4 linked regions of the Drosophila melanogaster genome follow. The protein of the gene in region 1 purifies or fractionates together with the protein of each later gene. This does not show direct contact. Each region holds a gene or a part of one and is shown in the gene's direction. Other genes may lie near its edges. The genes, in order: me31B, Patr-1, yps and Edc3.

Evidence for each region.
Region 2: the proteins of me31B (region 1) and Patr-1 purify together in Drosophila melanogaster (affinity purification with western blotting; 5 studies listed by BioGRID). This does not show direct contact.
Region 3: the proteins of me31B (region 1) and yps purify together in Drosophila melanogaster (affinity purification with western blotting; 3 studies listed by BioGRID, with this or other methods). This does not show direct contact.
Region 4: the proteins of me31B (region 1) and Edc3 purify together in Drosophila melanogaster (affinity purification with western blotting; 7 studies listed by BioGRID). This does not show direct contact.

Annotation. Positions count from the first base shown.
Region 1 is NT_033779.5:10,236,945-10,243,738, forward strand, and holds me31B (maternal expression at 31B), read left to right. Parts: upstream 1-2,396; 5' UTR 2,397-2,591; coding exon 2,592-2,641; intron 2,642-2,994; exon of another isoform or gene 2,995-3,140; intron 3,141-3,547; coding exon 3,548-3,647; intron 3,648-3,735; coding exon 3,736-4,114; intron 4,115-4,188; coding exon 4,189-4,836; intron 4,837-4,901; coding exon 4,902-5,104; 3' UTR 5,105-5,228; downstream 5,229-6,794. Other genes in the region: mthl15 (methuselah-like 15), read right to left, coding at 1-901; chico, read right to left, coding at 5,693-6,794. UniProt on the Drosophila melanogaster protein: ATP-dependent RNA helicase which is a core component of a variety of ribonucleoprotein complexes (RNPs) that play critical roles in translational repression and mRNA decapping during embryogenesis, oogenesis, neurogenesis and neurotransmission.
Region 2 is NT_033777.3:17,041,390-17,049,899, forward strand, and holds Patr-1 (protein associated with topo II related - 1), read left to right. Parts: upstream 1-2,174; 5' UTR 2,175-2,260; coding exon 2,261-2,299; intron 2,300-2,469; coding exon 2,470-3,283; intron 3,284-3,513; coding exon 3,514-5,042; intron 5,043-5,159; coding exon 5,160-5,405; intron 5,406-5,461; coding exon 5,462-5,740; 3' UTR 5,741-7,032; downstream 7,033-8,510. Other genes in the region: Trm7-32 (tRNA methyltransferase 7-32), read left to right, coding at 1-316, 374-478; bdwf (bedwarfed), read right to left, coding at 649-1,224, 1,281-1,673.
Region 3 is NT_037436.4:12,120,480-12,127,743, reverse strand, and holds yps (ypsilon schachtel), read left to right. Parts: upstream 1-2,593; 5' UTR 2,594-2,857; coding exon 2,858-3,032; intron 3,033-4,169; coding exon 4,170-4,907; intron 4,908-4,970; coding exon 4,971-5,068; coding exon of another isoform or gene 5,069-5,080; exon of another isoform or gene 5,081-5,589; coding exon 5,590-5,637; 3' UTR 5,638-6,064; downstream 6,065-7,264. Other genes in the region: Ir68b (ionotropic receptor 68b), read left to right, coding at 350-2,257; CG11560 (uncharacterized protein), read right to left, coding at 6,685-7,101, 7,156-7,264.
Region 4 is NT_037436.4:17,524,419-17,532,906, reverse strand, and holds Edc3 (enhancer of decapping 3), read left to right. Parts: upstream 1-3,045; 5' UTR 3,046-3,438; coding exon 3,439-3,998; intron 3,999-4,066; exon of another isoform or gene 4,067-4,207; intron 4,208-4,286; coding exon 4,287-5,201; intron 5,202-5,263; coding exon 5,264-5,424; intron 5,425-5,486; coding exon 5,487-5,571; intron 5,572-5,626; coding exon 5,627-5,948; 3' UTR 5,949-7,574; downstream 7,575-8,488. Other genes in the region: Nedd4, read right to left, coding at 1,872-2,060. UniProt on the Drosophila melanogaster protein: In the process of mRNA degradation, may play a role in mRNA decapping.

The DNA of each region.
Region 1 (6,794 bases):
TTGCGTTGATATTTAGGTTCTGAAAACCCTCAAATTTGAAATCGGTTCCATCGATCTTGCAATAGGTACTGAAATTTCCTTTTGCATACATTTCACCTTCGGCACAACAACGACGAATACAGGGTATTTTTTGGCAAATTTTCATTTCCTGACAAGCACGCACCAGAAACTTCTGTTCCGGTAATGCACCTCTATCCAAATCCGCATCGTCGGAGTCGTGAATAGCTTCGATGCAAAACTTGGAGCTGGGCAAACTGTTGGTTCCATCTTTCCAAATCAACGAATTATTATGAAAGTGCACTTTTCCGGAGGACAACGTATATTCCACGAGTGCTCTGTGGTCGGAACAGTTTAGGGTGTTATCAAAAAATATAATTGGACTGCTGATGATGGAAGTATAAACAAAGAAATCGCTTTCGCCCGGTTTGCATGTATTATTTTCGGAAACGTAAATAAATCCCTGTGGGCAGCACTTGTTTACAAATCCAACACTTTGAGACGGCACATTCTTTTCGAATTCACAAGATAAAACGATGAGACGTCTGTTTAATAGTCCAATGCATGAGTTATTTCGCAAATTCAAGGTGCGTTCACCTAAATCACTTATACTCAGACTGCTAAAGTTCTGGCACTTTGATAGTGCGAATTGGCTGTGGCCTGAGTCATTGATAGCCTTTTCTAATCCAAGGCCCATTGGTGGTATCAATTTGCCTATCACTTGGGCAAGATCCGGAAGTTCACTGATGTTGCTTGCGGCGGAAGCGCACTGGTATATTTCCGCATTGTCCACAGTGCGGCGATATTTGAATAGTAACGAATTCGCGGCACAGCATAACTGAACGGCGAGCACTTTTGAAATGCCACTTAAAATCAGGCACACTAAACTTAGTCCGATGTTCATTGTTTACGGCTCGTCTATTATACCCAATGACCGATTTGCGAGCTTGTGTAATGTTTGTATCTTTTCTTAGAACGGACTTTTCATATCTTATCATTGAGGAATCGTTATCGGACCATATACACTTCGAACCGCATGCAGTTGCCGGATTTAACGAACTGAACTGAAGTCTTCGCGATTCCTTCGCGAGCAAATGCGAATGTTTATGGGTAAACATTTGGCCCGCACACAGACGGACATAGCTCGACGTATATAGGCAATACATTTATGGATTCTCGTAAGCCTATACAAATAAGTTATGCCCCATGGAGTGCCTAACACTTAGCATGCTGGGGGTGCTCACGGATGGTATCAATACACCCAAATGGCCGCATATTTATGTAGGTACTTTGTGGTTCTAACACATATCTATCTATCTACACAATTCAATTGATGACTTTGTACACTAGCTTCTGACGGCAAGACAAATGCGACTGCTCGTGTTAACATTGTGCAAAGCTCATTAAGGGGAAATTGATAAGGTACACAGATACACACATCCATACACACTTATGTACAGAGGTGGGTGAGGTAAGCAATGGATCCTTTAATCGTCTAAGTACTCTACGCACCATAAATCACCTGGAAAATGTCAACGATACGCAAGTATTTATCTTTTCAATTAACTTAAGTCTAGTTATTAGCTGACTTTTTTCCATATATTCTTTCATGACACAAACTAAAATCGCAAACATAAATGTCATTTTTATAATATACAAATCTCCTCTATCGCAAGTACTATTTATTTATTCTAATACAAATATATTAATTTTGTCATTCTCCAATCGGAATAAGTATAAATAAAGTATAAATCCATTGGTTAAGAAAAGAAAAATCAAAAAAATAATTTTTATTCATTTTAATGTTATTAGTTAGTTTCTAATGTGATCTTTCATTAAATATTTAATACTTATAAATTATAAATGAAAAGATATTCATAAAAATCGCAGACAATCAAATTAAAGCTTAACTCAGATGTTCTTCTTTCATACACGTTCGAAATCTTCCTGTCGTTCCTAAGTCCCGTTCACACAGGCAGCTGCTTCATCTGAAATGCAGTTCATATATTGTTTTTGTTATAATTAAACGGTGATTTTAACCCGGCCGGAGTGGAGTTGCTCATTGGAAATGCTTTTCTAAATTAATTTAAATTTAAAATAACGGCAACAGCAGCTAACACAACAAAAATGTGAAATATTTGGGTATACATATACACCTACAGGATTTATAAGAGGAAAATTTAAATGCCGATTTTTTTTAAATAAAATAATTCTTGCCTAAATATGTGGACTAATTTTAAAACGTTCATTTGTTTTTGTTAAGCCATGTATAAATTTCTACAATATTATTGTTCGTCATTTTGAACTTGCAAAATTTGTTTCATTCCAACGTTCCAAATCAGGGCAATACATATTTATTATCTACACCGAGTGAAAATATTTTCCGAGTCATCAGAAATTTGTATTATTGATAGCATGTTGTAAGGCGACTCGACTATTTTGAAGCTAAGTGAAATTTTATATTGAAACGCAAAGTTGAATACGTGAGCAGTATATGAAAATCGGTGAATACAGTGACTTCATTAGTCAGCCGAAAGCAAAAGAGAGCGAAATACATTTTTTAAACAAACTAAACTAAAATTTCACTGTGAATAATGATGACTGAAAAGTTAAATTCTGGGCACACTAATTTAACAAGCAAGGGGTTTGTATATTTTATATTTATTTATATTTTTTTTTTCACAAGAGGACCCAAGCTTGGTGTCCCAACAAACATAATATGCATGCGTATTCATCAGCCCATATTTATGATTAGATGCCGAAAAGACAAGCCGTTTTATAGTTTAGAACGTCAATTTTTGCAAATGATTGAGCATGTAAAAGCCGAAGATCTGTATTTTAGCAACATCATGTAGTTAGGCTGTTTTCACTCAACAACTAAACCTGCAGAACATGTTATCTAATGAAAAAAACCAAACAATGTGATTCCCGTATTTATATTACTTTATTGTATGTAGTAGCGGAACATGTGTACATATGTATAAAAGAGTTATCTACATATGTAGTTGCACTCGTGGACTTATTTACCGCTAAAAATGTTGCTAAATATAATTGCACTGACTTAAATCATTTAGAAACTAACACTGTATTTAGGTAAAACTTCTATTGGGTGATTCTCAACTTTTGAGATCAGAACAAAACAGGTATTTTTTTTTTGCATTTCAGCGCCATGAACAGTTATTCGTGGGCTGCCATTTTAAAATTTGGAGTAGCGTTTCTTTTTCTCTCCTCCATAAATGTGCGAAAGAGAAAAAATGTTGAGTTCAATCGCTTTTAGATTGTTCAGTTCTTAAATATTCAAGACATTATCCATCTTTGTTTACGATTTAAAATCAATATTAACATTATTATTAATATACATTAATACATGGCTTAGACTTTAGCTTAAAATGCACTTTACATAAAAGAACTCATTTACAAAATTTTAAAAATCAAAAATTTTTAATATATATATATGCTTATATATGCCATCCATATATATATGGATGTGAATGACCTACATATATCGTAATACTTTAATTACCATTTTATTTTTTTTCTTTTCATCCAGGATTATAAATGATCTTCAAATTGCTGGAAACACAAGTGACGATATGGGCTGGAAATCAAAGCTGAAGCTGCCGCCAAAGGACAACCGATTCAAAACAACTGTGAGTTTGCCGACAAATCAATCGGAATTTATACAATTTAAAGCACAAACAAACTAACAAATAAATGTATTGCCATTGCCTTACTCAGGATGTGACCGATACGCGAGGCAATGAATTCGAGGAGTTTTGCCTTAAAAGAGAACTGCTTATGGGTATATTCGAGAAGGGATGGGAGCGCCCTTCGCCAATTCAGGAAGCAGCTATTCCTATAGCATTAAGTGGAAAAGATGTGCTGGCTCGGGCCAAGAACGGCACAGGCAAGACAGGAGCCTACTGCATCCCAGTTTTAGAACAAATCGACCCAACCAAGGACTACATTCAGGCACTTGTGATGGTCCCCACCCGAGAGTTGGCGCTACAAACCTCACAGATATGTATTGAGCTGGCGAAACATCTTGATATCCGGGTAATGGTCACAACGGGAGGTACCATTCTAAAGGATGACATTCTTCGTATTTATCAAAAAGGTGGGTTTTGATGATAGTTAAATAACCTAATATCGGTTTAATTGCAACTTTCTAAATTTTCCCTACGCCTGCAGTACAATTAATTATTGCCACTCCCGGACGAATATTAGATCTGATGGATAAGAAAGTTGCCGATATGTCGCATTGCAGAATATTAGTTTTGGATGAGGCCGATAAGCTATTGTCGCTTGATTTTCAAGGCATGCTGGATCATGTTATACTAAAGTTACCAAAGGATCCACAGATCTTGCTATTTTCCGCAACATTTCCACTAACAGTCAAGAATTTCATGGAGAAGCATTTACGCGAGCCTTACGAGATCAACCTGATGGAGGAGCTAACACTGAAGGGTGTCACTCAGTACTATGCATTCGTACAGGAGCGCCAGAAAGTACACTGCTTGAATACGCTCTTTTCGAAGCTGCAGATCAATCAGTCTATCATATTCTGCAATTCCACGCAACGTGTCGAGCTATTGGCCAAAAAGATCACAGAGCTTGGATATTGCTGTTACTATATACACGCTAAGATGGCCCAGGCACACAGAAATCGAGTATTCCACGATTTCCGCCAAGGACTCTGTCGCAATCTGGTGTGCTCCGACCTGTTCACCCGTGGTATCGACGTGCAGGCCGTGAATGTAGTAATCAATTTCGATTTCCCACGAATGGCAGAGACATACTTGCATCGAATTGGTCGCTCAGGACGTTTCGGTCATTTGGGTGAGTTTAATTGCATTCTCATATTATAGTTTAGCCTATTTACAATCTTCGTTTCTCATTTTAAGGTATTGCTATTAATCTGATAACCTACGAGGATCGGTTTGATCTGCATCGGATTGAAAAAGAACTTGGAACCGAAATAAAGCCTATTCCGAAGGTCATAGACCCCGCCCTTTATGTCGCAAACGTTGGCGCATCCGTTGGCGATACTTGCAACAACAGTGATCTGAATAATTCTGCGAACGAGGAGGGCAACGTTAGCAAATAAAACGGATATGCCCTGTGTAACGCTAGTATCTGAAATAGAGTCTAAATCGTGGAATCAATAAAAACAGATGAACTATTTCAGAAATCAAAATTGTATTAAATAAATGGAAAGCAATTCAATTTTTAAATGCGCTCTTAAGATAACTGAAATGACTGGTCTATAAAAAAAAGGCTCGTTCACTTTGTGGGTTTTGGTGCTGAGAAGTATTAACATTAACTATTGGGGATTTGGTAAGGAAAGTTAGTCGAATGCTATTAAAAGGCAGGCTAAGGTCGTTTAATATCAATCCAGTTTTTAGTAAAGGGTTTAAATCAAATAAAAGGTCTAAAAGTAATTACAGGATTTTCGGACAAGAGAAGTACACTTGGATCAAGCTAAATCCTAGATTTACTTACATGGAAGAATTACCATTGGCAATTACCCGATTTACTAGATTCCAAAAAAAAAGTACAAAGGGATCATTATAATTTAAATAAAATTTATTTATTAGCATCCAAAATTGTAAGCTTTGCTTGTCAGAATATTTACAATAAATGTACAATATTAAACAAATCATATATATAGGATAGGGTCATAAATTTCAAAACTTTACGTATTAAATATGTTCGATGAGGAGGAAGAGGAGTCGGATTGGTCAAAGTCGATTTTCGCATAGGTATTCCCATCCTCCGGGCATGCGGACACCGGCGGCGATTCGCGTGATCCTCTCTTCAGGTATTTAGCTGGATTTTGGCCACTGCAATGGGGAAGATCTAGGCTGGCGTAGTGCAGCTCCGGCTGGGATATGCGAGACGACGACCTTGAGGGGAAATTCAAATCTTTAATCTGTAGAATGTTCTGTGGTGTACTTGGATCTGTGCCAGTGCTACGCGAATCGGCGGCGGCGGCTGGCTTTGCTGAATTTATATTGAATTTGGTGAGTGAGCTGCTGCTCACCGCGGTGGCGGTGGCATTATCGGGAATCGTATTCACACTCTCTGTAAGTCTCTGCGAACGCTCCAAGTTATCCTTGTGTATACCCTTTTGGTATAGCTTCGATGAGATGAGTGAGCTGTCGCTTTTAATTTGCAGAATTTTGTAGCCGGCTTCGTTAAATTTTGTGAAATCATTCGATTTGTCCTTGATTTGTGTGTAGTCTTCGCTGCTTATCGAATGAACCAACTTCTTTTCCTCATGCCCGCCTATATCCAAATTGTTGTTCTCGACAATCTTGTCGGCCAGATGATTATTTAGCTTATCGCTGCTCTGCGCGCACACTTTCTCGCAATCAATTTGATTTGCTGAATGAACATCATGGCTTTTGCTTGTACTCTCGACATTTGTGGGTTTCGAGCTAAAGGTGTTGTCATTCAATGGCGAGTTCGACTTCTTTTCCTCGCTTCTGCTGGGCTGTTCTCTCCATTTCTCAGCGGATATATTGTATGTGCTAATTTTGTTTAAATCGTGCACTGGTGCGGCTGTTGCGGTGAGTGGCGGTGCTGTCTGATAGTCGGATAGCTTGAGTTTCTCCACTTTCATTGGCAGGCAATTCGAACTGGGAGTGTATCCATTACCGACTGGCTTCATCTCGAGGTAACCATCCTCGGATGTGATCGCAGTGTTATTTAGTTTGGTGCCATTGAAAATGTCCTTTTGACTTGTGGCGTGCAGAGTTAGGCTGGAGCTATCCGTTCGCGGGGCTTTTGGGAAC
Region 2 (8,510 bases), on another chromosome or scaffold:
CAAGATTTTTAAGGGAAATGCCACATCGCTATTGAGCTCCCAGATGCAGATATTTTTCAAAAAATTCGACATCTACAAGCCACCGAGTTCGCGTCCTTCGAGCATTGAAGCTTTTGTGGTTTGCTCCGATTTTTGCCTTCCCGAGGGCTACATTCCTCAAGTGATTAACCCTGCTCGCGATGATATACGGCTACTGGCACAGAAAACAGGGTCGGAAGTAAACCGTCGTCTAGTTCCTTTTATAGCCTGTGGAGACTTAAATGGGTTGAGTGATCCCGAAGAGGGCAAGACTTCCTCCTCAGATGAATCCAAATCAGTAAGTGATGTGCCTAATACTTTGCTTTGTTTTTTTATTCAACCATCTTTCCCACAGAATTTAGAGTATGTTTACGATGCTGTTATGGACGACGCATCTTATCCCCTGGAATTTAAAGAGATTCTAAAGCAAGTCTATGATGAACAACGCCATATTATCTAAATATTTATAAAATAAAACCAAAAAAATTAAATTAAATTTGTATATTAAGTGGGCTTGGGCCAAGCTAAAAGAAATGTGATAAAATTAATCAAAATATTGAATAACTTAGATTATTTAAAGATTAGGTTATTAAGACTACCAAGATATTACTTAATTTTGTGCATATCCCGTTATTTGAGCGACAGCTTTTTTTGCTCGATTTCCAATAGTTTCTTTTTCAGTTCTATTTTCTCAGCCATTAACTGTTCAATTGCCAAGTGATGTCGCTTGTCCTCGTACAGCTTCTGCTTGTACAGGACAAAAAATTCATTGAGTGCAAGTTGAACGCTGTTGGCGGTATCGTGCACCATTTCTAGGTTATTGCTAATCTTGTCAAGCAGTGTGGTCTCCTCCTCCGCCAGTCGACTGCTGGCCAATGCGGCCCGTTTGTTAGATTGCAGGTAAAGCGGGTCAATGTCCGTTTTGTTCTCCTCCGGTTCGTAAACGTACTCGGCGGAAGTCTGAAGGGCGCCACCATCTTCTTCCGGGACCACATCCTCTACTTCGTCCACATCAAATTCCGTGGTGGAATTCTCATGCATTTCATCGTCGGAGACCTTCATAATAATCTGACTTACATCCTCGTTTAATCTACACAGTGTGGCTATTGTTTCCTCCGACGAAGTAAGACTGGTGCCAAAAGGCATGTTCTGCATCTCATTCTTTTCCACCTTTCTCAGGATAAACCTCTTCCAGTCCTTTAAGGCCTACAAACAAATCAACTTATAATGCAAGCGGTTAGAAAAAAAGTAAGTTAGAATACCCTTCTCCAGGTGGCTATATCTTTTCGCGGCGGACCGTGGCTATTAAGTTCGGATGACAGTTCCTCCCACAGCGACTCCAGATTGCCCCGTGTTTCCCACGTCGGATTCTGAAGCAGACGCGGATGTTTCTTCACGAATTCTAACAATATCAGCTCTTGCGTTGAGTTGCGCGGCTTGGCTTTGTTCCGGTCGATGGCGATGGTGGTCTGCGGCTGGAATTTGTACTTGGAGTTCCGGTTGAGTCCCGATGTGGGGTGCATCCTGTTCATGTGCTTGCTTAGATTCGTGGTGGTCGTCTTGTAAGAGAGCTTCGCCTTGCAGATATTACACACCGCAAACGTGTCGTCCACCGCCCGGAAAAAGCACCAGATCTCGCTCGTTTTCCGCTTCATTTCGACTAAGTTGTTTTGGAAAAGGAAACAGGCTCGTAGTTCCGTCCAAAGCAATAGTTCAAGAACTAGTAATTTAGGGATGAGCTTGCGGGCGCTGATTTCAAGTTTCGAACTAGTTCAAAATATCGAATACATTGAAGGAGTGCAAATGCACCTTAATTAGGGCAGATTTTTCATTGATCAGTAAAATCTAATGTTGTTGACTTATTAACCAGTCGTGGTAAGTCCCAAACTGAATAAATAAATATGCAACATACGAAATTTGGCAGTGGTTAAATCATCATTTTTTTCTAACATCACTGTAGCAAAATGCAAACTTATAAATTTAGACAAATCTTCAGTCGTTCACCTATTGAAAAAAAACGTATGAAAAAAATATATATTTTAAATTTGCATGTTAATTCCAACATTTGTAATATGATAATATTTATATGCGAGCGAAATTGATGTATTGTGGCGATAGTCAGAAAACCATCGACGTCAGACTATCGATAGTACCATCGATATTTTGACAGCTATACTGCTGAGGTGACAACTTGTCACTGACAAGTCATGATAATTTTTTGTAAAGCAATAGATTTATCGCCATGGATGACTCGTTTTTCGGCTTTGACACGAATCTACCGGTAAGCAGCGGTCCCGACATTGCGGCTGCAATATCCGGGATAGCGGGCCGCACAGGGGTCGGCAAATGCCCAACGCACACTTTTCACTCGGCAAATAAGGGGGCATCGAAGGCCACCGGGGGCAGAAAAAGTAGGAATGTCTAATTTACTTGCTTCAATTGTTTCTCCAGGACGAAGATGGTGGCGATGGACGCATCGTCGAGGCGGAATACGATGCCCTCAATGACGAAACCTTTGGATCCGCTATAAATGGCGACTGGGAGGAAGCCCATGAGACGATGGTACGCCTGGGCGGGAATGGCGAAAGGGTGCGGAAGCGACCCGCGGAATCTAGTGGAAATACGGATTTTGCCGATCAGGGAAATGGTGCCTTCCTGCGACACGCTAATCCGCTATCATCGGCGCCCTCTTCAAGCGGCTCCACTCCGGCCCCTTTGAATGCCCCCTTCCGACAGTCTCGTCACATAGGGGACTCGGACTTGGAGCTAAACATTTCCTCCATGAAGTTGGACGACATGGACCTGTCCTCTTTCACCACTGATAGCGAAGCCGGTGGGCTGAGCAACCGCATTAAGCTGGACTCCGGGGTCTGGGGATCACAGCCGTTTCCCAACAACCAACATTTGTTCCGCGAGCCTATGCGCAGCGCCTTCAAGCCACAGCAGCAGCAACATCAGCAGCACCAACCACAACAAATGAAGCCACCGCAGGAAGCGAATGCCAACTTTGCACTGAATCCACAGCCTTTTCCAAAAATTACAACTCTCGAGGATATAGAGCGCAATATGATCATTCAGCAGGCCATTCCGAAACAACAGCAGCAGAGCCAGCAACAGGCGGAACGCAAAATGTTTGATGATTTTAGTCTGGGTAACAGGCAGCAGGTGCCTACACCAACCATGTTGCAGCAACAGATGTTGCAGCAGCAGCATCATCAGAAACAACAGTCGCAGCAGCAGCCGCCACAACAAGCGCAGCACAAGGGTAATTATATATTAAAACTAAAAAGTATTGATGCATACAAAAACAGGCCTCAGTATTTAAAAAGAAAACATGTCCAACAAAAAGTATAATTCCTAAAAATATTTATTTCTTACGAATCTATTTTTGGGGACAATTTTTAAGACAGATTTAACCATTTAAGGAACAAACTTCAAGTCCCTGATAGATTTCTGCGACATATGAAAATAACACCATTTAACAATTCATTGCAGTACCCCCTGGCTTCTTGGGCACGCCGCACACCTCTCCACCGAGGCCAAATTTGGGTTTCCCCGGACCCGAGCTACTGCCCACGCCATCGTCGCAGCAACAACTAAACGGTATTGGTGGCAACCGAGTGCCGCCCGGATTTATTTACCCGCAAGGTCTGCCCGGGAATATTCCGCAATTGCCCCAGCATCCTCTAATGCAGCAGCACATGCCGCACAACTTTCCACTGCCCGGCGGCAACCAGCGACCTCTACCCAATCCACAAGCTCTGCCCACGGCCCTGAACAATTTCGCGATGCATCCAAGCTTCAATGCGATGCGCGCCGCTGGAATCCATCCAGGGGCTTTTATGCAACCTCCCCATCCGCACCAGATGCTGCCACCGCGAATGCCGCCGCACCCGCTGCAAGCTGCCACAAGTCTATTAGGTCAGCAGCCACCGAATTCCATGTATAACATGTTCAACATGCGACTAGTGCAAGAGATCCAGCAAAACCATCCGCTGCTTCAACAGGCTGCTGTTGTACGCCAAATGCAACAGAGCAGAGCAGGATCCGTGGCCAGCGATCGTCAGAGATCGCAGGCGCAACAGCAGCAACAAGGACGACGTCCAGATGGTACAGGAAATTACCCGCTGGAAGAGTACGATGAATATGCCAACCTAATGAGCACGCGCGACAAGCACTGGCTAATCGGAATCCAGCTTTCGCAGCTGAATACGGACACGCCGTATATCGACGACTATTACTACACGGTGTTCAGGGAGCGCAAGGCCCAACAGAACGGGCAAATGCGCAACAGTCAGGCGCACAAGGACAACCAGTTGAATCATCCGCTTACTCAGCCACGCGGCCATGCGCAGCTTATTCTCGTACAGTTGGGCAACAAGAATGGTACTCGCAATGGACACGGACGTGAGCGACGCAACTCGGAGAACACCAACAGCACGTCAGGCAACACGAACAATGGATCAGGTGGTAACAACAACAACCTGACAGGCTATATATTCTCACCACTGAAGTTCGAGAACTCACTGGGAAAGCTACAGTACGGAAGTGTGACAGCTCCGCGAAAAATTATCGATGCTGACATTATGAGTGGTGAATCAAATGCCGCTGCTGAAGCCAACGCAACTTCTTCATCAAAAAGCTCGACTCCGCTGCCCACCTCCGCGAGCCATGATGTAAATCCCAGTAGCATGCGGAAGTCGCGACACATTTTGCTTCTGATTGAAACACTGTATCGCTATCTGCTGAAGTTGGAGGATTTGGAAAGCCCAGAAGTGATGGCCACCATTGAGCTGAAAAAGAAAAAGGAAGCCGAACGGATCGCAGCCCTTGAGCAGCTGGAAATGGCCAATAAAACGCCCGAAGAACGTGCTGCTGAAGCCGCCAATCCGCAAACCATGAATCCGCAACTAAAGAACAAGTTCAACTATGAGGTAGAGACGAAAGCTGCGTTGGTCAATAAATTAAAGGCAGGTCTGGCCTTCGACAAGGTTATCGCCATGATGAATGTGCGCAAGGGAAAGGTGTGTACTTTTTCTTATACTAATTTTAACAAGTGCAACCAAATAGAATTCGATTTATGTTCTAGTGCTATACGCATGAAACTCACTATTTTATTTAAATCAATCTTTCCTTTGCAGATACTTATTAGACGCATAATGCCCTTTATTGCGGATCAAAGCATTCGCTGGGTCGTGTGGAGCGGCGTCTTCTGTTCCCTACAAACAGTGGTGAAAAAGGACAAGGACGACGTTGAAGGCGTCTTGTACGCTCTTTACCCAGAGTTTAAAAAACACGTTAACAAAGCTACTTTCGAACTCCTAGTGAGCATTTCATCTGCTATTACGCTGAATGACAAGAAACTTGCTGGAATTTTTTGCAGTCGCGTAAGTTATCCTCAGTATTAAGTAATAGATACGCGTACTAATTATTAAATTGGCAGTTTGGAATCCTTTCGCTGGTTGCCCTGATACTTCGCGCCGAGGAAATCTACGTCTCGCGAACTGACGCAACTCTTAGCGAGGAGAACAGGCAAAAGTGGCGAGAATTTCTGGCACAGGTTGCATCCTGCCTCAATCGCACTATTCAAAACCAGACCATCTCGGCAGCCATTGAGTCGGATGCAATTCAGCCACTTATGGACCACTTTGAACGGTTTAAAGATCTTAAACTGGATGCACTCTTAGCATTAATAACTGAAGCCAGGCATCAAATTGATTAGGTTGCTTTGACGGATTTTCATTTAACTTGATTGAAGCGTTTCAAATAATTGTGAAATTATATAGCCGAGTTCACTTTGCTTTACTCAATTACGCATATGTTTGTATAGAATATGTATCCAAAACTTACATATGTACGATCGTTTTTACATTTACGCATACTACACAAAAATATTGATACAGGGTATAAAAATCTCATACTGAAATTGAGAAAGTACTCGACTGTCAATAAATTTTGATAATAGTTTGTTAGAAACGTTCTTTTATCCAAAATTGTGTGCACTGTACAAGAAAGGTAGAGAGAGGAAATCATGTTTTATAAATATAATATCGAATGGTAGGTTTTGCTCATTGTACATACTTATATCATTTTATATTCGATAAGGAGTACTTTTCCGGCATTTTCTGTAGAGATTTATAAAGAATAATTCACCCCACAAATTATTCTTTTTTTTTTTTTGTCATCGAATTAACAACTGGGCTCTCCTATATCTTGTAATCACGATTGTAAAAGGAATATCATAAATACGTTTTAAAATTTAAAAGCACCGATTTAATGCGCGATCCATGCATACTCATTTAAATGTGCATCCTTAAGTATCTGCTTATTTTCTGGTATTTGTAAATATCGGTTTAATGAAATTTTACTATACTACCTTTTGGGTTTCATTGAATCAAATTTGTGCAAGACCCATTAAATATAGTCGAGACATTCAGCATAAATGTGTACTAAATAATTAGCATTGTGACAGGTGCAGCCGTATTTATTATAACAAAATGATCAAAATTGTGATACATTTTGACTTTTAAACATAAACGAAGTTCCGATGATCGGAAAGAATTAGTTTAACACACAAATACAAATTTGAAATTAGAAAACAGCAATTTTCACAAAACTTCTGTAACGCAACGGATAGATATTTGTTGTAAAAATCCGTTGTGGAGCATTTTAATTTTATTTCGTTTTTAATTGTATCTACACCATCATTCAATGTTGTTTAATTCATTTTTTTTATTGAAATTCATGTTTTGTATCTGAAAAAAATTCTACTCGACTGCAAACGTCTTGCAAATACTTTAAAACTATGCTTTTTTTTAGCAAACAAGAGTCAAAATACGATAGCTGTCTAAGATTGCAAACACATATACAATAATTGTAGTTTAATTTGTATTTATCACATACAAACACTTCAAACCTTTTCCTATAAATATGTTCGCTGATTCAAAAGTAAATTTTTTTAAATTGATATAATTTCCGAGAGTATAATAAATAAAAAATACCATTTCACAGAACACACCGAAACTAAAACACCTTATTTTTTTGGGGGGGTTTTGAAAAAGATGATATTTAGTTTAGTAAGCAGTCTGATAAAAACACATTAGTTGTCCATTTCAATGATATTTTATTTATGGATTTTTTTAGCTTTCCTTCAAATTTATTGATTTGCTTCCAATTGGTGTTTACGCTTGTGCTATTAAACGGTTTTTCTTCTATAATAATATATTAATCATTTGATTTCTATAAACAATTGTGCCGGGGGGGGGGGGGGGTGCATCATTAATGGCGAACGTGTTTTGTGTCTGTCTGTTTTTGTTTTTGGCGCAGAATCAAGCGTCGAAGTGTCGGCAGTTGCCTGTCCGTAAGGGACATTTTGTTGTGCGGAGGCGCCAAAGTGCGTAACAAGTGGCGGCGGCGCGCTCGGGAATTGTTGCAAATTTCTGAGTCGGCGACGCCAACCACTGGCGACGGTCACCAAGACGACAACTTGTCGGCAGCAGTCCGCCCAGCGCGAAGGGATGCGAAGCCCACTCTCCCGATCCCACCCCACACTGGCAGAGAGCATGCGGTACACTTGGAGAAATAATGTGACTTCAGGGTTAATTTTTACTCTGCAATTCGAATGAGCTCTTAAGTTATTAGGTTTTGCAGGAAAATTTTGATATAATAAAATAAAATAAATTATTCATTAAGCTGTTATGCATTTATTCTTTAAATTCACAAAAAAATATTAAGCAAAATTACGTTTATTTATATATAATAAATTATAATAAGTTCCTCAACTAATATCCTTGCACGCCTAAAATATGTCGATTTCGCATAACCTCCCCAATTTCTCCGAGTGCATCCAAAGGCTAGACTTAGACAGACGATTGTGGCGACCAGTCGCCCGTCGTTGCTTCTTCGGCGACGGCGACAATGGCACGACGACAGGCAGGAGGACAGGACTCTGGCTCTGCCGTGGAGCGGAGCAGACAGTGCCGCAGTTCTGGGCAGGACCAGGACTCAGCGGATGCGGATACGCAGAACTTTGATTTGCGAACGGGCCAAGTGTGCGCCACTGGGCGCCGCTATTATTGCCATTGCCACCAATTGGCGCGCCAAACGCCGCTGTTCTCACAATTAGATGCGAAAATAGCCGGCGCGTCGATGATGACGAGTTATTGTCGCGTCTATCTGGTCGTTGTTTTTGTTGACAACCCCACAATTGGTTCGTTGGCGGCAGGAGGGGATCGTCTTCAATACGCTTCTACCAGGGAACCCATTAATGTAATGTGCTGATTTAACTGATCCTGACATACACACAGCCAATGTACTATGAATCTGTTGTTGGGGCGAAGATAGACTTTGATCTGGACAACGTGAGGTATGAGTAATATGCGAGGCCTATCTTGGTCTATTATTTAATTTAGATTGAATTAGATACATTGAATAAATATCGCACGAAATCATCATTTTATTTGAGAGCTAACAAGATCAGCGACCTACGGTGC
Region 3 (7,264 bases), on another chromosome or scaffold:
TGCAAAATGTTGTTCAAATGTTTAGTTGCTAATCAAAAGAAAATGATTTCTTTTATAAATGCATAATCTTATTGCTTTTTAGAAACTCAAATAAAAAAAAACCCATTTTATTGCAAACCTTCCGTTTACTTTCATTCATTTTCTGTAATGTCCTTTTATTCCTTTTATAATTATTTTGTAGAAATCAAGTTTTGATAACTTTTTTCAAGTTACCCCAAAAATATTAGCCAACTAATGAACTGCTCACGCATCGCTTTTCCTAATTGGGAATTACGGCTCCCATGGGAAATCCTCTACAGGTGTTGTGTTCACCCAAAGGATATTTCACTGGTTAGTCTGCTCGTAGAACATGAAGTTTTTGGTTGGATTGCTGCTCCAATGGTATCTTCCTGGCATTTATGCCCTTGCCGAGATTGCCTGTCGCATAGCCGTAGAGCAGAATGTCCAGGTGACCTATCTGTACCGCTGTGCCAGCTGCCCGGCATCCTTCGATGCGGATTACTCTGCCTTGGAATTGGATCTCTATCGGTGTGTGGGCAGTAGACTGCCCGTAATCACACGGAACATGGAAGCACATGAGCTGGAACCATTTAGACGAACGGACAGCCTAAGCATCTTTCAAATTCCGGCTGCCGAAAAGGGTGATTCCTTGGTACGCCGCATCCTGGACATGTTGAATCCTCACCAGAGGCGCAAGCATATGCACAAGTATCTGTTTGTTTGGCCAAATGCCGGAAGGCATCAGTTACTGCGACTTTTTCGCGGCAGTTGGGCCAAGAAGCTGCTCTACGGATTGGCCATTACCGGCAGGGAAAATGGCACCTTTGACTTTGATCCCTTTGCTTGGGGTGGTCTCCAAGTGATTCAGCGGCTGGATGGCGAAGTGCCGTACGCAAGAAAGGTGAAGGACTTGCGCGGCTACCCATTGCGTTTCTCCATGTTTACGGATCCGTTGATGGCGATGCCCAGGAGTCCTGTGGAGACAGCTGGCTATCAGGCAGTGGATGGAGTGGCGGCCCGAGTTGTTGGCGAGATGTTGAATGCCTCAGTAACATATGTCTTCCCGGAGGATAACGAATCCTACGGTCGTTGCCTTCCGAATGGAAACTACACCGGCGTGGTCAGCGACATAGTCGGTGGTCACACCCACTTTGCACCCAATTCCCGCTTCGTGCTCGACTGCATTTGGCCAGCGGTTGAGGTGCTGTATCCCTATACCCGTCGCAACCTGCACCTGGTCGTGCCCGCCTCCGCAATCCAGCCGGAGTACCTGATCTTCGTGCGTGTCTTTCGGCGAACTGTGTGGTACTTGCTCTTGGTCACCCTTTTGGTTGTGGTGCTGGTCTTCTGGGTGATGCAACGTCTGCAGCGAAGAATTCCCCGTCGCGGAGTCATCCAGTTTCAGGCAACGTGGTATGAGATTCTCGAGATGTTCGGCAAGACACATGTGGGTGAACCGGCGGGCAGGCTATCCTCCTTCAGCTCGATGAGAACGTTCCTCATGGGTTGGATCCTCTTCAGCTACGTCCTGTCCACCATCTACTTTGCCAAACTGGAGTCCGGATTTGTGCGACCAAGCTACGAGGAGCAGGTGGACCGAGTGGACGATTTGGTACATTTGGATGTGCACATTTATGCGGTGACCACGATGTATGACGCAGTTAGGAGCGCCCTGACGGAGCACCAATACGGTCTGCTGGAGAACCGTAGTCGCCAGCTGCCACTGGGAATAGCCACATCCTATTACCAGCCGGTGGTCCGGCGCAGGGATCGACGAGCGGCCTTTATCATGCGGGATTTTCACGCCCGTGACTTTCTGGCCATCACCTATGACTCGCAGGCAGAGCGACCAGCCTACCACATCGCCCGGGAATATCTGCGCTCTATGATATGCACCTACATCCTACCAAGAGGATCGCCCTTTCTGCACCGCTTGGAATCTCTGTACAGTGGCTTCCTCGAGCACGGCTTCTTTGAGCACTGGCGTCAAATGGATCTGATCACCCGGGTTGGTGCGTCGCCGGATGCTGAGGAGTTTCTCGAGGATCTGGGCGACCAGACGGACACGGATTCCGGCTCCAACGAGTTGGCGATTCGTAACAAAAAGGTGGTTCTCACTCTGGACATCCTGCAGGGCGCCTTCTATCTCTGGTCCGTGGGGATTGGCATAAGCTGCTTGGGATTTGCAGTGGAGCACGCTCATTGGTTTTGGCGGAGACAGACACTTCGGAATGCGGTTGAAGCTAGAACAAGCTAACTAAAAATATTAAAAATTACTAAATAAAAGGTACATATATGTTTGTTATTGTAAATACTATACTAAGTTTTCAATAAATTTCACCGCTGTTTAGTTGGACATGTTGTTTTATACATTTTAATGATAAAACTGTAGTTTTATATTATTCTAACCATTTAATGAATTTAACCATTTATTCCAATTAACCTTTCTTGTAAATTTAAATGTAACGGCTTTTTATGTTGTTATGGCTTAACATTCCGCGCGTAACAGCACACTGGAGACCCCCAGTATCAGAGCATCGATAGCACCCATCGATAGTCCGATCACCAGCAACCCTGCCTCCGGCTGTCATGTTTCACTTCCGGAGCTTGCGAACAAAATAGAATCGCTAAGGCAAAGAAAACCCTGCGAGTGGCGAGTGTTTTAAGATCACACTCAAAAACAACATCCAAAGTGGTTAGTGGCAGTTGAGAGAGTGCCCAAGACCCCGAATACCAGCCGGGCAGACACGAACAACACCAGCAGCAGCAGCACCACCATCATCAACAGCAGCAGCAGCATTTCCCGCTTTTCGTTTTCGTCGTCGCCGAACAACAAATAACAAAACCACGACAAACGATGGCTGATGCCGCGGAGAGTAAGCCACTGGCCGCCGAACAGCAGCAGGCGCAGCAGCAGCCGGAGCAGCAGCAGAATCCGCCGAATCCGCAGGAGCAGGATCACGAGCAGGAGCCGCTGGACGAGCTGCAGGGACAGCAGGGCCAGCCCGCTCCGCCCACCAAGGAAGTCATCGGTAAGGCTGAAACTCGCATGTTAAACCCAATTCCCAACCAATTTCATTCATGTGCCGCGAACACATGGCGGCTGCTACCAAAATAGCAATGAAAAAAAGGAGGAAAAAAGAACAAGAAACATGCCTCCCTGTATGCGTGTGTGTGTGTGTGTTTTGAGTCTTAAAATATACGCGCGTCGGCCATTTTGTGCGGCCAAAGGCAACGCAACGCATGTATATATGTATGTGCACGAACGCTCGCGCCGCCGGCTAACCAAATTGAAAATTCTGCCTTTTGCCGGTCGTCTGTCTTTCCACCCACCCAACCACCAACCCCACCCGCTTCGCCTCTTTAAAAAATGCCCCCCCATAGGTGTACACACACACACACATACACACATGCAGAGCGAGCCAGGGCAACCCAATTTGTTAATGCGCGCGCAGCGGGAGTGCGAACGAGAGGGCAGACAGCCGGGTGTGGATGTGTGTGTTCATTGTTTTGGTACATCTATTTGCACACACACACTAAAACGCATGGAAGCATGGCTATAAGGCGATTTCAAAACACGAGACCATAATGCAACCAATAAGATACAATAATATTCGGCGACTATTACAATATATTGCCAAATAATTTGGGATGCCACTATATTTTCGCGTAAATCAACATATTATATGCATACTTATATGGTTTATTCGAAATTTTGGTAACCATAGTTTTAAATAATTGTTAACCAATAATTTGTGGTTATAAAACGTCTTTCAATGTTATTGCACGCTTCAATGAGTTTTCAAACTGCGTATTAGTTTAGTTTCAGATGTATTGCGTTTTGCCCCTCCTTTATAATAAAAAAAAAATGCAAAGTATTATCTCAAAACTACCCCTTTTGTATAATTTAAGTTTCTTATGTAGAATTATTTGTATTTTAGAAGTCAGCTCGCTGTGCATCCCTACTGTTCCCTAATATTTTTGTTGCATGTATAATGTTTAAAGGATTATAATATTTGATAAAGGAATGATTGCAACTGATCCCAAACAAGTATTATACCATTGAAATCAATTAAATGATCACACGTTTGTAGAATAAGTACCGCCAAAAATATTGAATCCCACTATTATCCCCAATTGTTTATAATTTCTACTCTTTCCCATTGCAGCCACCAAAGTCACCGGCACCGTCAAGTGGTTCAACGTGAAGAGCGGCTACGGCTTCATCAACCGCAACGACACCAGAGAGGATGTCTTTGTGCACCAGAGCGCCATTGCGCGGAACAACCCCAAAAAGGCGGTCCGCTCGGTGGGCGACGGTGAGGTCGTTGAGTTCGACGTGGTCATTGGTGAGAAGGGCAACGAGGCGGCCAACGTGACCGGTCCCTCCGGTGAGCCGGTGCGGGGCAGTCAGTTTGCAGCGGACAAGCGCCGTAACTTCCGTCCCTGGATGAAGAAGAATCGCCGCAAGGATGGCGAAGTGGAAGGCGAAGACGCCGAATCGTCGGCCCAGCAGCAACAGCAGCAGGCGGCACCAATCGTTGACGGGCAGCCGCAGCAGCAGGTGCAGTCCGGCCCGCGTCAACCACGACAGAACTTCCGCCGAGGACCACCCGGTGGACCGCCCGGAGGACCTCGAGGTGGCCCCCGAGGACCGCCTGGTGGAGCTCCCGGTGGCCCCCGGCGCTACAACAACTATTATCTGCGTCAGCCGAGACGCGGCCTGGGCGGCGGTGACGGCAGCGCCGAGCCCGGTGTCCACGATCAGAATCCCGAGGGTCTGCAGCGCGGCGAGGGTCAGGGACCACGTCGCGGTGGAGGCCCACCGGGCGGACCCCAGAGGCGCTTCTTCCGACGCAACTTCAACAATGGTCCACCGCCACCACGCCGCGACGGCGGAGAATACAGTGAGTGAACTTTGTGCTATTAGATAATTGGTATATATTATTATTAATATTATTCTGTTGCAGTTCAAGGCCAGGGACCGCCACGCCCACAACAGCCACGTCCACGTCGCCAGAGGAAACCAAATGGCCCTGGCGGTGGTTCGGAGCAGCAGCCAGAGAAGGTAATGAACTAATCACCAGCATCATCACAACAGCAGAAACAACTGAAACATCTTCGCCGAAACAAACCTACGATAACAACATCTAAATTAGTAAACATCAGCAACAGTCAGTCGCAAGCATAACAACAAGGTCTACAATAATAACATGGTGAAGGCGTCTTAAAAACTAAACAACTAACTAAAGTGCATTGTGTAGATGCATTCGTAAATAACCACTAACAACCAGAGCAGCCACACGCACCGACACCAAAAGCAGAGAAACAGCGATAAAGCGGAGAAACCACCCTAACATTTAACACTTTACACTTAACTTGGAGGCTTTGGGTCTAACATAACATTCTAATACATTTAGTTTTTAGTTACCTAACCTGTGACTAATTGGCTAACAAGCAACACACACACACTTAATTTACAACCGAAACCAGCATTTTGCTTTCATCCCTTCGATTTATTTTTGAAGTTGTACTTACGTTAATGATTTCTACCCCCCTCGCCATGTTTTCCCATGTTCAAATTCCTAGAACGGCGCTCAAGAGCTGCAAAATACAACCACAGAGAGCACTGCATAGAAAAGGATCCGAAAGGATCTAAATCGTCAACCGACAAACAAAAACATCGTCAGCAGTAGCCGCAGTATATAACTACAATCGCAGAAAAACAGCAGCAGCAGCCCATCCTCAACATCAGCGACCAATGCAACATCATGGTGCAATAAGATCAGCAAATGTTGCAGCAAATTTTGCTAAATGAGCCGCCGCGTTTTTTCGGTTTGTTTGCTTTTTGTTTAGTTTCGTAGGGCAGAGAATCAATTGTACAACTCATACCACAACAAAACTAACATCCTCAAAATTTCAATCAAATTCAAAAACAAACAAAAAATTGTATAAAATTTCCATCAAGCCTGGCCGTCGTCAAAAAATTGCATAATTGTGGAATTTTTATTGTATGAACCAACAAACCAAACACGAAAACATAAATAAATTTCAATTACACTGCAATTTAGATGGCGCCGGTATACAATTTACTTTAATGATTATTACCATTTTTTATTTATTTATTCTTGAAAGCATTGTTACCCGTTGTGCGTTAAGCAAACCCATAACTCTAAGTTACTCGATTTAAAGATCATTAAAAACGTAAACCTATACCAATAACCACACCACCACTTTGTCCCATTTATGCATCATCCGAAATCGAGAACCATAGCCATCGGGCGAAAAGAAATGAAAGCAAAGCAGAGCAAACAAACAGAAGAACGAAATCATGTAAATCACAGCAAACAAACATACAAAAAAAAACTGTAAAAGATGCAAAAATATACAACAAACGCAAGATGGCAACAAAGGAAAGTAAAAAAAAAAACTTTAAAAACGTATTGGAAAAAATAAAAAAATTGAAAAACACTTTTTGGTATTGTTTATTTGTGTAAATTCTAAACTAAAGTGTAGTTTATAAATGTTTACTTAAATCGCTATCGAATATATTATTTTATATATTTATTCTAATTTTTATTATTTATTTATTGGGGATCTACGTTAAGTGAGCAAATCATTGAGTCTGCAATATAAATAAATTCTTAAGCTAATTTACATATGCGGTATTGGCATGGTGAGGTGCTACAGGTTTGTGGTCAAGGATGTGACCGTGGAAATGCTCAGTCGCTCCAGACGACCCAAGACCAGTAGTTCATCTATGGAGCGCTTGGCGTAGAACTTTTGGTCCTCGTTCAGCCGCAGGAAGGCGTGAGCCCAGGCTTTGGCATAGGATTCCGCTTCGGAAATGGCATTGGCATCGAACTGGGCGACACTTTCCGTTGGCTTGGGTTCGATTGCCTCACCGCCAGCATCGGATGTAGTATGTTGGATGTCACATAGGTCCAGCTCGATGGGCACCTGATCTTCCGCCTCCACAATCTCAATCTCGTCTTCCGGCTCCTCTGGTTCAGTCGACAAGTTCTCCTCGGAGAAGAGCTTCAGCAGGGGTCTGGAGTGGGAGGATTCCAATTCACGTTTTGATTTCAGCTGCAGGATAATCTAAATTATGTAGTTTCAGCTTGACTTGTATGGGTATAAAAGTGCAGTACTTACAGTCTGCTCCTCCTCCAAAGAAGCCTCAATCTCATCATCCAGATCGCTGTACTGGGTCTCCGGATCCATGGTGACCTCATAGAACTGCTCACACTGCGTAGAATAGGAT
Region 4 (8,488 bases), on another chromosome or scaffold:
ATAATCACTTATAATAGACATGAGAATGTTCTGACTGCTGACGCAATGGATTCAATGGATGTAATTGACCAGCTGTTGACTGATAAGCGGCCCATTAAGGCTATCCGCTAAGGCAATTGTGACGTCGACTGTTCTTACAAGTGCGTCGATTGGCCGACGTCACCGCTTGCCGGCTGACGTGCAAATTGGATTAAATAACCCAAATAACAGAGCTCAATTAGCGGGGGCATACAACTTTTGCGGCAAAAAAAGCACTAATGAAGATAAGCCATTCATTCATACACCTCCCACTTTTTGGACAGGAATTTCGAGCCATTCTGACAACGCTTCAATGAGTTCGACAAACAGAATTGAAGTGCCGTCAAATAATCGCTCATTGAGTGAAAGCAAACAGAGCAAACAACCAACACTGGGATACTAAAAAAGAAAGTAAAAGAAACACAAAACAAAATGTCAGTTCATAATACGTTTAGAAACTATGAATAATATAATTCTGCGAGTTCTGTTAGAAATTAAAATACTTTTATAAACCATTAAACATAGCCTAGGTATTAAAAGTTAAAACAATATTTTTCTCTCTGTGCAGCCAGAAAACCATAAAGTGTAGACACACAACATTCAAGAGGCGGCGGCCAAGAATTGTGTTGATAAATTAAATTAGCTTCGAAGATGCCGATGACTGCTCAAGTGGCTAGCATCTTTGGCAAATTAAGATAAATAAATTAGTTTAGTTTCCGTTCGGCCTGAGATGGCGAGCGAATTATTTGTTTATACAAGTGAGCAAAACAATAGAAAAGCCCATTCCAGACACTAAGTAAACAACGATGATGCCAGTTTATTTTCTGGCGGCTTCCTAATACTTTTCTTGGCACTTTTCTGCTCTTCGGAAAGTGCAAGTCAAGAAATGTTATTCGATTTTAAAAAATCCGCAAAAAAGCTACTTTTTCTTTAACATTATAAAGTAATTGGTACAAGCAAACAATGACTAAACGATAAAATGTAATGTGCTGTATTAAAGGCCCTCCTAAAAAAAGACTTATGGAAGTCACTCCTGAAATACAACTACATCTAACTTAATGGTTGACGAAATGCAACGACCTTTACACCGTAAAAGCTAGGTATTGGATAAGAACAGTTCGTAAGTTTTTCGTGCTTTTCGGCTTCTGAAGGAATTGTAGATCCCCTACTTTTCCCACCATACATATATCCCACTTTATCATCCATGAGGGGAGTGAAATCTACATGGCCCATCTACACGACTCAGCTGTTTGGCAATCTGCAGATTAGATTAGTAGTGAAAACATCGTAAAAATGGAAACACTAAATACAGCGGAGGCACTGATAAGGGCGACCAAATCCCCCAGCACCACCCGTTGATAAATACTTTTCAAATCTTCACACCAACAAAATGGTGGATACATTGTGGGCAATTCCTTATAAAAGGTTATAGGAATTGGTTGGCTTAGTTTTGATAAGACAACATTTCGGTATGCCCTTTAAAATGAGATACATTTATTGATTAGTCAGTTTGCAACGAAACCAAAACAATTGATAAGAGTATCTTATAAGATGTCATAGTAAGTAATACCTTACTATCTATTAAAAATTGATAAACATATAGGTGCCACGGTCACTATTTGGTGTTATGATAACTTAATTTGATACATACGCGTTTATATAACCCATAATTAGTTAACTGGCTTTATCAAAAATGGAATGAAATTTTTCAATCAGAGTTGGATGCGTTGTGAAATAAGGTTGTAACCATAAGGTGCTCCTACAAAATTCCTAAGATGTTAGAAGAGTTCCTAAGTTGTCCTTCAAGGTAAAGCTCTCTCTTTTCGTCGTCACCTGCACTTATGTAAACTTACCACTGCTGCCAACGATCTGCGAGGAGTGTAACCATTTCCAAATTCCTGGCGCGTTTGCTGTTGTCCCGCAACAGAGGCCGCTCGCCGGCGGGGCGGCGGGCGTGGCACGTCGCCGCCGGCCACCGAGGAAGAAGACGACGGGACGGGAAGGGCCGCCGCGGCCACCAAGCCGCTGGAACGTGCCGACATTGTTGTGTTGTTGTTGTTTGTTTCTTTTAGAGAAGCTTCTGCAATGAAAGAATGACGGAAGGAGAGAGGGTGAATATGTGCAAAGCGGAAGTGCAAATTAAGCGATAAATGACACGAAGAAGAAGAAGAGGAGGCTGCCATAAGGTAACAAGAGGGGGAAGGGTGTACAGAAGCGAAGGAAAGAAAAGCGAACAGACAACAAAGACAGCAAACAAAGTGAACAACGGTACTTGTGCTAGATGCCATCTCTGTCTGCCGCCCTGCCCCCGTGCAAGCGTGTTTCTAGTGTGTGTGTTGTGTGAATGAGGTGTGGGTGATAGAGCACAAAAGCCAAACATTTTCTTGATAATTAGCCAGGCGCGAAGCCATGTCTTTGTAGACCATTTATGGTTAGCATAAAGTTTCGCCCAAGTTTTCCACTTACGTTTACACACGCACAAACACGGGCCACTATATTTTCGCCCGATTTATGTATATATTTTGCGGTGGTATGCGTGTGGGCTCGCCTTTATCCACTATTTGCGGAAAATCATCACGTACTTCTATCACACGGCAAATTCTACACTGCTCACTATTCAAGCGATTATCACTTTGACCGCTTCGGCGGCGCACATGCCTTAATCGCCGATATCGGTCGGCTATAGGTGCCTGTATATATGTCGCACGCGCAGTATTAAATAAAATTTAAACACCGGACGGGAAAAATGCACAAAACGGCGACAAAATCGAGAACAAAACTGCCAGAGTGACCGTGTACGCGCACTGAGAACATACCACAGCACCCAGAAGCCTTAACAGTTAAGGGAAGCACTTGTTAAATTCATAAAATGGCTCGCAGGCTTTTATTGAACCAAATATTTATCAAAATAAGGTGAAGTTTCCGTAAAGCATGAAATTTGTAGTTATTATAAATATGTATATTATTATAAATTTATTAAGTAAACTAATTTGCCACGCAGCTAGTTTGGGTATTGTTCGGTATTATCTGAACACCAACGAACGGCCACACGCAAGCAGTGAAAATCCCAATGAAACGAGAAATCCAATAAGTTTTAGCGTCAATGTGTTGCAACGGTTGGTGCATTTATTGATTAAAAGAGACAAAATACCGAACCCCTTGACCGCAGAGCCAAATAATTCAAAAACACCCGACTTTAAGCCACAAAACACTAGAATCAACGGCGGTGCAGCAGCAGGAAGAAGAGGAAGAGAGGTGCGTGGTGCGTAGTTAGTTAGTGGCGAAATTGCGTATTAGAAACGAAAACAACAAGCAGCTCTGCGCGGGCCAGCAAACATTTCGAACAACCATTAGCCAGGGCAGAACAAGCCGATCCAACGTGTTGTCGCATTCGCAAAGGGAGTATCGAAAACTGATTACATGGGTCCGACGGATCAAGACTGGATCGGCTGTGCAGTGTCTATAGCCTGCGACGAGGTCCTGGGCGTCTTCCAGGGCCTGATCAAGCAGATTTCTGCCGAGGAGATCACCATTGTGAGGGCTTTCCGCAATGGCGTGCCGCTGCGAAAGCAGAACGCCGAGGTGGTCCTCAAGTGCACGGACATTCGCAGCATCGATCTCATCGAGCCCGCAAAGCAAGATCTGGATGGGCACACGGCGCCGCCGCCAGTGGTCAACAAGCCCACGCCCGTCAAGCTGCCCCACTTCTCCAACATCCTGGGCAAGCAGCAGCAGCTCCAACTCCAGCAGCAGCAGCAGCAGCTACAACTCCAGCAGCAACAGAAACAGCAGTTCCAGGAGCAGGAACGAGAACAGGATCTGCCATCGACGCCGCGGTCAAGGGCCAACGACAATGGACGGGTAGCGGCTGGCGGAGCATCGAGTTCTTCGGGCCCACGTGGCAACTTCAATTCGGCGCTAAGCGATAAGATGCATCAGCTGAAGCTAATCGAGACCAACGGCTCAAATGGCACCCTTAGGTAATATGGCCCATTAAACGATTGTGCAATGCCAATAATTTAAATTAATTGTTAGCTCTTTATAAAAAAAAAAAGTATGAAGATTTTTGCAGTCAGCACGATTGTGTTTATTTCATTTCATTTTGAAGCCATCTTTATGTTTAAACTTACCAACCTTGAGATACGAAATGAGTAAATTACCTTTATTACTGATAAAAAGCAACAGTCGTTTCAGATAGGTCTTGTGCCAACTGAGCGTCGTATTTAAAATAGGTTTCATCTAACTTTTATATTTGTTTCGTCATCCAGAACACCACAAACATCCCGTGCGTCCAGCGCTCAGCAGCAGCCGCAGATATCAACGACTCCCAACAGCGTGGCCGCCTTTTTTGGCAACATGATACCGCCGAAGGTCGAGGTGAAACTGGGCTCCTACGTGAGCAACACCCGGGAGAGTTACTGCAGCAGCAGCGGAGATAGCGGCGAGGCAACTGGTTTGTCGTTGGGCAGCAGCAAACCCATAGATATCGTCAGCAACGGAGATGGATTTTACAAGCAGACGGCAGCCTCGAGCTATGGGAATACAAATGGAAATGTAAGAAGGAATGGCAATGCCAATAACAATGGAAATGGCACCGGAAATGGTTCTTATACCAATGGAAATGGCAACGGCAACGGGAAGAACAAGCGGAACAGGGTGCGAAGGGAGAGCAGCATGCGGCAGCAACAGGTGCAACTGACTTTTGGCAGCGAGGCGGACGATCCGCTGATCCACGAGGATTTCGATTTTGAGGGCAATCTAGCGCTGTTCGACAAGCAGGCAATTTGGGACGACATCGAGTCGACGACCCAAAAACCAGATGTGGTGCGGCACATTGTGAACAATCATCATCATAAGCCAGAGCAGAAGTATCGGCACGACGAGAACATCCTGGCCAGCAAACCACTACAATTGCGCCAGATCGAAAGCATGTTCGGCGGCAGCCAGGACTTTGTGACGGACGACGGTCTCATTATACCGACGATTCCGGCTTACGTTCGGAATAAAATCGAGATAAGTGCCGATAAGGCGGGCCTCTCTCTGCAGAGGCAGATCGACATTTTGGCGCGCGGAGCCAGTGATCTGGCCATTACACTGCTGGGCGGCGCCAGGCGATTGACGCCGGCCAACAACCATCAGTGGCCGAAGATTGCCATCATCTGCGATGGCGGCAAAAATATGAGGTGATTTAATCAAACGTATATGGACATAACTTCAAGGCAGTGACTAACATAATTCCTTTCAGAACAATTAACATTGGAGCAGCCACAGGTCGCCAGCTGGCTTCGCATGGGCTTACTGTCCTGCTGTACGTGGAGCAGGCCAAACTGCTGGAGCAGAACAGCAGCAGCCCAGAGATTTCATTGTTCAAGGCAACCGACAATGTCATAGTTCACTCAGTAGACGGTAGGTTACTAATATAATAAAAAATATAAATAATCGATTACTGAGCTATTTACATTTTTCAGCCTTACCCACGCCAGATCTTGTGATATTATCAACTAACACCGCTAATTTATCGGATGCGATCAGGAAATGGCTCAGTGTAAATCGGTTAGTGAACCCCATTTAATGTCGAAAGTAAATTACTGTTATACGTATTTTTTAGCGCTTCGGTGCTTGCCATAGACCCGCCGCCGTGTGGCATTAATGAGGTTGCTATCAAGTACTCAATACTACCCATACTACCATTAAATGGCATATCAACAGCAACAACATCATCATCCTCTTCGGCTGCCGCCACACCAACTCCCATTGCTAGCACTTCGGCAGCAGCATCGGCTACCAAATCAGCAGCATCAACGAACAATTGTGGCAAATTGTATTTATGTAATCTAGGTATACCGGATAAATTCTATCGTGATTGTGGCATTAAGTACAAAAGTCCGTATGGACATAAATATGTGATACCGATTCACTCAAAGGACTGAAACAACGACAACACAAACACCAACATTTACAACAGCAATCAAACTGCAGCATCAGCAACAACTGCAATCCATTAAAACAAGAATAAGCACATACAACAAAAAACAATAACAATGACACACCCGCACACTTGTGATGATCATCAAGTCCAGTTTCCTGTGAATCTAGCTCTTAGTACTCTTCTCTCATATATTACTCAAGTTAAACATTTTGTTCTACGGCGCGTACACATATAGTTTTTAGGTTACTTCACGCATCATCCCTTTAGATACGCCTAGTTATTATAATCTATATTTTCTAAATTAATTCAAAGCTGCCGGCCAAGTGCCAAACTATGATTAGTTTCCAACTGTACCCTATAGATTTTTTTTTCATTTTAAGCAACGACACTTCTTGTTCAGCCCTCTGTTTTGAAAGCTAGTCCAGCATTTACAAGTTTATAAAGCTTTAGTTTAGGCGCACGCTCTAAGGAATTTTTCCAACATTCAATCCAAAATTTCCTAAGGTTTTAATTTAATTTACAATTCACTGTCCTTCCTGCAAGTGGTCTTCATAATCGTAAACAACAAATCAGGCGAGAAATTGTTTGTAAATAACTATACAATTCTATGGGGAAAGATAAGATCATGTTAATTACTATCAAGTATGCGCAATAAATGCCAAATTCAATGTCTAATTTTAAGCATTAAATCAACAGCAAAAGCAACAACTATTGTACGATGTAATATGGAATACAAATCCAAGTATAAATCAAATCAGATTAGTTAAGTAAGTTTCGTAAGAATACAGTGTTTAAAAGTTTAACAGACCATAACAAACAAAACAAAACAAAACTTATAAAATGAGAAACACTTTATATTATGTATAGAAATAATTAAGATGTGTCTTTAAGGGAAACTAAACAAAGTCGAGAGCATAATTTTTTACCCATCGAATACTAAAAAGAAACCACAACACAATACTTATAATATAAACTGTAGAGCGATTAATTTTATATAAGATTAAATCCAATCTAATAGTGCAAAATTTTAGAAGGTTGCGACTCAGCAAGGCAACCAAAAACTCAAAACAAAAAACCCAAATTGAAACTACTTGTTGTATAAATAATAACTATAGTTGTAAACTCCAATCATGTTGATGATCATCTGCAAATTCAATTTCCAAACCCATCAAATTATATTGTAAAAAGAGAGTTGAATGCGGATCAATCAGCCGCCAGGCGGATCCCGCAGTGACTGTTTTGCGTTAGGAGTAGAAACGATGACCAGACCTTAAAGGGATGTTGGTGGCGAGGGAGGATGAGAAGGTTTTTCCAATACCACAGTAACCACAGATTTCACAGCCAAACAAATTAACACCAAGACAAGGAGAAACAACAAACAACCAGATTTTGGTAACGCTTTAAAATTAAAAAAAAACATCTATTTTTGGGCCAATTGAAATTGTTAAACAAAGAATGAAAACCTAATTTTAAATTTATACTTAAAAGACAAAAATTGTACGTAAATTCTTTTTTGGAACCAGAAATCGGGCAGAAAAAAACGGATACAAGAGAAAGTCCTTTCCAACGTAACAGCAAAATTAAAAAATACAAAACAACACCGAGAAGCCTTCTCATGGAAGAAAACAAGCTTTACAATTGTGTTTTATTTTGGGTCCTATATTAATGGCGTTAATATAAATTATTAATAGTTTCTATACGGTATAGAAAGCGAAAAGGATAAAGATAAATTCTTGATGGGCTGTGGCATACGCATCTGTAAGCAAGTACATCCGGCCATGTTGCCGAATTGTTTCACTATACCATAGACTATCTATTTGAAACTGATATGTTCCCATTAGGCTTACCTTTATCTTGTTATTGATCGAGTTAACAGATATTCCAGGTATCTTTAAAGGAATACTTCGCATAGCACGATTATAAGATTTCCAGTCAAAAATATGACTTTGATGAACCCTTGCGAATGAAATTTAAGAAACTCGTTGACTCAGCTATAATTCAAGTGCAATTTTATTACATTCCGCTTAGATCAATAAAGATTAGTTTTAATTTATATCTTATCAGAGTGTGTCGTGTGTGGTGTATAACTTAAAAGTGTGTAGAACAGTGTGTTGACTTAGGCGTAGATAGATAAAACAATAGGTATTGTTAATAGATATATGGTAGTTAAAATCAGTTGGCATTATCGATCGATTCTTACCCACTGTCAGGGCCAAACACAAACAACTCTTTACACTGCTCTCATAATTCCCACTCTAAAAATCCTTGGCTGGTCGAAAAAATTAAACCAAGAACAGCCGTCATCGATGATTAAATTTGGTATTTGCTTGATTGTAATCAGAGATTAGTGGCCCGAATACTCACATCATCATATAGGCATGTACTGTACTGATCTGAGCCCCCGCGGCGGCATCGATTCTGTGGTGTAGTATGTGCCTATGCAATATTAAGAACAATTAAATAAAATAGCATATTAACTTATGGCAGCACTTTGTTGCTATGTTTATGTTTATGTTTATGCACGCAGTTAGGCCAGGGCAG